2 linked regions of the Alligator mississippiensis genome follow. The protein of the gene in region 1 interacts with the protein of each later gene in a pairwise test. Links are inferred from orthologs where the notes say so. Each region holds a gene or a part of one and is shown on either strand. Other genes may lie near its edges.

Region 1 (3,743 bases):
ATCCATAGTGTTAAAAATATTCTGCCTTGTTCTGGTCTTTGTTCTTTGCAGTAGAAAAACTGCTGTTATAGTTCCACAGTCAAAAACCAGTCGAAACTAAGAGCCTGCATTTTCCAAGGGAGGCGTTGAGTCCAAAAAAGGTTGAGAACCACTGCTCTAAACAGAACACCCTTCTTGCTCTTTAACTGCTCCTGGCTCTGACACAAATGTGCCTGCTCCTAGTTTTGCCTCAGGCTGAAAAGTAGCATGAGCCAACACATTTGCTAGCACAGAGTGCCATACAGAGCTTGCATTACTGCAGGTTTAACTGAGTCTCACACAGAGGAAAAGGGATTCACTTTCAGGAAGTAACTGACTTTAATGCTACAAGGTACAGAAAACACTCTTCAATAGGAAGAGCTGGAAGGGAGAAGAATGGAAGTTCTGCTCGTGTATCAAAGAGCCGGCCTTTTGAACTGTAGCACTGTTCTGCTCATGGGATTGACTTACACATTACATATATTATGGTAACACCTGGAAGCCATGACAGAGGCCAAGGCTCCTTTGTGCTAGGCACTGTACAGATCTAGCAGAAAGAGTTCATGCCCTGGAGACCTTACAGTCCAAACAAAAGACAAAGGGTGGAAGGGGAAATCGAAGCCCAAAGAGATGAAGTGACTGGTCCAAGGTCACCCAATAGGTCAGTGTCAGGATGAGGGACAGAAGTTTGGTCTCCCGGACAAGCCCCACTGGCCTCTGCTGCCTCATTCCTGGAGAGCAGACTCCTGAAATCTGCATTTACCCCCGCACCAGCTCACAGAGCCACCAGCAACATCAGTCGACAGATATTTTTCCTTTTATGTTTAGATGCTGTCGACCATCACAGAGATACCCTTAACGCTCAGTCCCAAAGCGCCCCAGTATTTCCCAAACTTCCAGTGATTTATATCTGTAGCGCTATTTACCAACGCTGGAGAGGCGATAGCTAGGGGGGGCAAAGGGGAGGAGTAGAAACCTGCGCAGAACCGCTAGGAATGGTGGCAGGGTTTGACTGGGTATCGTCAGGCGTTTGATCCAAGGGGAAACGGGCAGGATTAAAGCAGAACCAGTCGCATTCAAGCAGAGGCACTGGGCACTTGGCTCCTTGGGAAAACATGTTTATTAATTTAAAAAAAAAAAGAAGAAAGAAAAAAAAAACACCTCTCACTGGTCTGAGCTATCTAGTATCATCAGCTGTTCCAGGTCACGGGGTCTGGCTGACAGCCAAGCCTAGGCCAGCTAGGATTGCTTGCATGTATCACCTCACAGCCCCCGGTGCTGATCTCAGGCCCAGCCAGAGCCACGGCAGCAGTCACCTGCAAATCCCTCCGACTAGAGCAGGGCAGATCTCTAGGCAGGGCAAGGCGAGGAATATAGGGCAGCAAAGGAAAAGACGACCACAGCCCCGTGGTGTCAGTCCAGACGGGGCACCTTTTATGCAGGCTTCTCGCCCCATTTTTAAAGCAATTTCAGCCAAACAAAACCTGCCTGGTGAACCATGGGGAGAGGCATTCACACAGCCTCCCCCGCCGAGTTCACGGAATCACAGAGAAGCGGGGCTGGCAGGGACCCGCATGGAGGCAGGATCATCCCTCTCCAAACCATCCCGTACAAACCACGATCGAAACCCTCGTTTCTCAACCTGTGGGCCACAAGAATATATGAAAGGGGTGTGAACAAACTTTAAAAATGGAGAGAAATGTGGAAAAGTGGCTGTTCACTTGCAGGCTGTCAGAGTGCCAGGCTGCAAAGGGTTGCTTGGGGCTCTCCATACCGCACCCCTCCCTATCCCACACACCGGGGGCGGTGGGTTGGGAGTGAGGGGCGCTGGGTCGGGACTGGCCATCGATGTTTACAAGTGGGTCCTAGTACAAAAAAAGGTTGAGAAGCACTGGTCTAAACTCTCCCCAAGGCTTTCATCAACCCCACACAACACAGACCTGACACCCTCACCAGCCGTGGGGGCAGCAGGGGCACGGGGGCAGCCAGCGCCTGCTTCTAGGAAGTGTTGCCACAAGTTGAACCCCCCCAGCTAGGGCTGCCTGCAAACAGCACCCGAGCCTCCCGGGGCTGACAGACGCTGCCAGCACCAAGGCAAATCCCTCTCACTCGGAGCGAGTGGGACAAGGGAAGGAGGACTGCAGCCCGCGGTGTCACTCCAGACGTGCAGTGCTGACACAGTCCGGTTGTTAAAGCTATTTCAAACCAAATCAAAACCAGTTGTGGGGAGAGACGTTCACAGACCCCTCCTCCGAGCAGCCCGTGGCCCCCTGCACGGGGCGCTGGCGCAACCCCGCTGTCCTGGGCCAGGGGTGACCCGCAGCCGAGCTGGGCCTCTGCAGGCGCAGGAGTGCCCCAGCGAGCCCCCGGCAGGAGCTGGAGGGGAGAGGGCAGGGATCGGGGCCCCTGGCAGGGGTGGAGCACGGGGGGCTGGCCCGGGAGAGTCACCCCCAACCCGGCCCCGGCCCCGGCCCCGGCCAGCCTCACCGCACGCGGCTCACGTCCCCCTTCTTGCAGCTCGTGAACAAGTCGCTCGTGTCCATGGCCGGGGCGAGGGCGCTGCGCGGCGGCGCCGCATTGACACTGCCGGGGGGCGCGGGCGGGGACCGGGCGCGGGATCGGGGCCGGGCCGGGCCGGGCTGAGCCGAGCAGGGCCGAGCTGGAGGGCGCGGATGTAAACACTGCAGCGGGCGGGCTGGCGGGCGCAGGAGGCCGGCACTGCGGAGCCCCGCCCCGCCACGCCCCGCCCTCTAGAACGCTGCGGACGAGCCGGGTTCTAGGCCGGGTTCTAGAGCGCCGAGGGCGGGCGGAACGTTGCGGGGGGCGGGGTTCTACACCGGGGGCGTGGCCTTGCTCGAGAATACCCAGGGCCGGGGCTGCCGGGGCGCTGCGAGAGGCCGTTGCGGTGGGGTTTTCGACCAGGGGCGTGGCCTTGCTCTAGAACAGCCAGGGGCATGGCTGCTGGGGTGCTGGGATAGGACATTGAAGTGGGGTTCTAGGCTGTGGGTGTGGCCCTGCACTAGAACATTTAGGGTGACTTGAAAGAACATTGGTGGCAGGTTCTAGACCAGGGAGGTTATGACCTTACTCTAGAACGTGTCTGGGCAGGACTTTAGCACACTGGAGTCAGATGGTGCATGGGGGGGGGGGTTCTAGACTGGGCGTGGCACTGCTTCAGGTTGCCTAGGGCAGGTGGTGGGGGTGGTGCTCACAGTTGCTCCAGAATGGGATGGTGGGTTCTAGAGTGGTCTGATCTGGGAGGGGGGGCTTGCTTGTTCTAGACTGCAAAGGGGCATGCATAGGTGGAGGGGTGCCGACGGTGAGGTGCATCACCCCAGGTAAAAAAACACATATTTTTCTCCAGTTAAAAAGAAACTAGGTGTTTTGCTAATGCGCGAGGGGCCTGGGGCTGCCTTGTTCAGTTCAAGATTGCAGCAAAAACAAATCAAACTTCACTGAACGGCGTGACGACTAACCTGCGAAGCCCGGAAACAAGAGCTGTCTTACCAGGAGCAGGTCACACACCGCAGAACTGCAGAACGAAGGCAAGACAATTAAAAAGAAGAGGGTCCTTAACACCAGTGGAAGAATTTCAAAGGGATGGAGTAGATGACAACGGGCTGTGAAGTCAATGGACTCCCTCAGCACTGCCAAAAATGCTGCTCTCTCTCCCAAGCAGTTGATTAAAACTTTGGGTGTATCAGGATTCAAAGAGGGGGTTAAAG
Region 2 (3,743 bases), on another chromosome or scaffold:
TAAGGTGTGATCCACATCAGTCTCCACTATTGCTTTTAAATCCTGCAGAGCTCTTGCACCCTCATGGCTATCCTGTGGCCATGACTTCCATAGGTGGATAGGAAAACACAGGCAACAGGATGACTAGGCCAAAAGGTCCTACTTTTCCAAGGCCAGAGGTGTTGGAAAGGCCCAGAGGTAAGAGGAAGAATGGGGAAAAAAGAGAGGAAATGGGACTAACAAGGGGCGAAGGGAGCAAATAGACCATAGGGAACAATCCAATGAAAGGAGATCGAATCCTAGAAAAGGAGGGCTGGAAGGGACCTTGGGAGGTCATCTAGGCCTGCCCCTTGCTCAAGGCAGGCACCATATGATCTAGGGGTCTTTTCCATCGCCCGGTTGCTCTGGAGGAGACAAAGGGGAAGGCACGGTAAGGGCGGGACAGCTCACCTCAGCAGCCTCCTTCTCAAATTTCTCAATGGTCCTTTTGTCAATGCCCCCGCATTTGTAGATGAGATGTCCGGTGGTAGTGGATTTCCCAGAGTCCACATGTCCAATGACGACGATGTTGATATGTGTCTTCTCCTTCCCCATCCTCGCGGGCTAGGTGTGAAGGGCTGGCGCTAGCGAAGCGGTGGACACGGCGCTGCGTTCCTGTGGAGGCTGGGGAGGAAAAAGCACGGATGTTGCATGAGTCCTGACACCCCAAAAAGCAGCAAAACCCCAGGGCCACCCCATCTTCCCACTGCCCTCAGCAAGGCATAGGCTCTGAATGACAAGGTTTCTATACAGAGAAAGATATTACTATTTTTCTGTCCTCTTTGTGAATTAAAGCCCACCTTCTACCGGCACCAGCAACCCAACTCTTGGCCCGATGGGCTTAGGCTTGCCTGTTTGCTATCCTCTTTGGGGCAGCGGTGGAAGGACCCGCCTGTCTCTGGGATGATGGGGGCTCACTGCCCTATTTCTGTGTGCTGCGTAAAGCCTTTCCAACGTGAGTCACCATGTTTGCAGCCTTTGCAAACAAGGTGTGCCCATGCCCCTGGGGAATGCATATTGAAAGGCAGGTGTCAGAGGGGGGCCCTAATCCTTAGTACCCCCTTAAAGCCCTTCTAGATAGAAAGCTCGCCCCCTCACTGCACCCAAATGCACCCCCTTATGGAAAGACTGCTTCGTTCCCAGAGCTTCTGCATTTGAAATAACTAAATGCTGCCTCCATTTCACATGCTGCCTTCCTCTCGGGAAGCTGCCGGGCATCCATGCTGGCTTAGGCATATCGCGAGAGGGACTCAGCACGATATCAGATTCCTCTCCCTCTCCGCCTCTCTGCATCGAGCTCTCCCCCACGGAGCTCGTGGTTGGGATGACAATATGGTGCCCACAAAAGGGAATGGACAAAAATAGCCTGCGGCTGAATTGGAAGCAGTCAGGCAGCCTGCAGAAAGCAGGGTGCTGGTGCCTGAGCTGGCAATGGGTTTTTTTTTCCTCCAAGGATCAAGATAAAATGTAGAGAGGAAAGGAAAAGCAATCCATCCGTTTGTCTGCCCCGGCATCTCCACGCTCTGCAGCTGCACCACGAACCAGCCAGAGCAGGAGCCTGCTTGGACATCTAATAAAATCCAATGTCATCATGAAGCTGCCCATAAAGGTAAAAGAGGTCAGGGAAAGTTTGCCCCCGTCATACAGACTCAGCCACGCAGGCAGTAACGTCCTCGGAGAGCAGCCTTCCAGGAGAGCAGGGAGTCCTCCCACCCCCCATTAGACCTTGGGGGGAGCCTTGTGGAAATGAAACCGGGGGTGGGGGCTAATCCGTGCTAGCACCGAACAACAGCAAAGGCAGCTCTTTCAAAGGCAGGCGTCTCACATCCTCCAGCTGCCATGCCGGCTGCCAGGGTTTCAGAAACCTCTAGGCAGCCTCTTTCTTTCTCCCAGGGCTCCTGATGCCAGCTGCTTCTATTTGCAAGGGGGTGGGAGGGTCCGACATCTTGGGTACGAAAATCTCCCTTTTTACAAGCTGAAGGAAGAGTTGAGGGTGCCCCCGATGGGGTTGGGGAACACAGCACCCCCCCCATCCCTAACTCCTCTCTTTGGGGTTAGGTTTAAACCCAGCTTCACCTAGCCCTGGTGACTTCAGCTCAGCTAAGGGCTCTTATGCCCTTCCTAGCCTTGGGGTGCTGTCTCCTATGCAAACACCATGATCCAGGGGCATATGCAGCCCTATCCACAGCATCACGGCTCCTGCGGTTTCCTGGGGATCAAGGTCAAAGCCTTGCTATTACCACCGAGCAAAGGTAGCAGCACCCCCCACCCCACCCACACCTGCCCAGCTCATCTGGGCTGGCTGGAAGGGGAAGCCGGAGCTCTGCCTCCAGAGGACAAGGCACCTAACTCTGCTCTCCTCCCCACCTGGGACTTCTTAAATCATATTCTGTTAAGACTGTGGCTATTAATGGCTGCACCCCCCCCCCCCACCCCCCAGCAAAGCAGGTCAGTGGCTGCAGGCTTGGATGCACCAGGCGCTTGCAAACACACAACCCAGCTGCACCCCTTGCTCCCCTCTCCAGGCCGCCTGGGTGGGTGCAACCCCCTTGCCCACCACCCTCCCCGGCTAGCTGCGGCTGGGTTGGGAGCTCTTACCGGTAGCTGTGGTCTCAGACAGCAGAGGCTGCCAGCTTAGGCTCCGGCTGTTTTATTTCCCTGGGAGGGGGTCCACCTATTGACGGTGCCAGCGCAATGCAGTGACCCCCTGCACTACAGCAATGCGGTACCGGGCGGAGGGAGGGAGTAGAGAGAGCAGGGAGGGGAGGAGACAGGAGGAGGGAGCTCAGGCAAGGAGGAGATGGATGGGGAGAGAGAGGGAGATGGAGAGGCAGAGACACACAGAGCTGGGCGCAGGGAGGAGCTGGGCAGGAGACACGGAGAGGGAAGGAGGGGAGCTGCTGTGGCATGGGGGTCCAGGGGATGGGCAGGGGTTGCTCACCCAGGCTGGGCTGGGCATCGGTACCCCATCCCCTAGCCAACTGATGAGCACATGGAGAGGCTGGGAGGGACGTACGGGGGTATCCAGCACACGGCAAAAGGGTGAAAGCACCACATCCGTCTGAAGGCAGCCGAGAGTTGGAGTTCAGATACCCCCTAGTCTCACCTGCCCCTAGCCAAAAGGCACAAACTTGGGGGAAAACCCAAAAGCAATCCCCACCGCTATAATCTCTATAGCAGAGCTCCTTGCATTTGGAGGCATTTGCAGACTCTCGCAGGGGTCAGCCTGCCTGCGACAGGCCTTCGCCTGCTAACTACAAGCCCTCCGGGCTGGGGGCTGGCACGTAGGATGCCTGCCAGGGATGTGGGAGGATCCAAAGCCCCAGACAGATGGATGAGTCTGGGAAGGGAGGACGCTTGCCGATGGTAGCGCCACGCAGACTTCAATGAGCGAGCTGTGCTCAGTTGAAATTTGGAACTCAGTTCAGAACGGATTTGGCCCTGGAAATGCACTTAAATAAATAAATAAGTAACGGCAGCCGGGGACTCGGCGCTGTCCTAGCTGGCAGCCTCGGGACCTATCTAGGGGCAAGCAGGGACCAGCCAAGGTGGCCCTCACTGGTACCCGAAAGCCCCGGGGCTGGGTGGATGGGTCTTGGCAGGACAACTCCTGGCTCGTTACCCCGGAGGGGTAACAAGGCACATGGATGCACCTCTGTTCCTTGCACCGGTGCTGGGCCTGGCTGAGGGGACTGGTCCACAGGCTCCTGAATGTTGCATCCTCT

Evidence for each region. The genes of interacting proteins can lie anywhere in the genome.
Region 2: the proteins of ABTB1 (region 1) and EEF1A2 interact in binary tests that used the Homo sapiens proteins (3 or more experiments, as listed by UniProt). The two-hybrid records come from large-scale screens. The link is inferred for Alligator mississippiensis from reciprocal best matches to the Homo sapiens genes ABTB1 and EEF1A2.

Annotation. Positions count from the first base shown.
Region 1 is NC_081835.1:18,874,449-18,878,191, reverse strand, and holds the start of ABTB1 (ankyrin repeat and BTB/POZ domain-containing protein 1), read right to left. Parts: upstream 2,742-3,743; 5' UTR 2,562-2,741; coding exon 2,506-2,561; intron 1-2,505. UniProt on the Homo sapiens protein: May act as a mediator of the PTEN growth-suppressive signaling pathway. May play a role in developmental processes.
Region 2 is NC_081832.1:3,720,023-3,723,765, reverse strand, and holds the start of EEF1A2 (elongation factor 1-alpha 2), read right to left. Parts: upstream 2,744-3,743; 5' UTR 2,617-2,743; intron 643-2,616; 5' UTR 574-642; coding exon 430-573; intron 1-429. UniProt on the Homo sapiens protein: Translation elongation factor that catalyzes the GTP-dependent binding of aminoacyl-tRNA (aa-tRNA) to the A-site of ribosomes during the elongation phase of protein synthesis.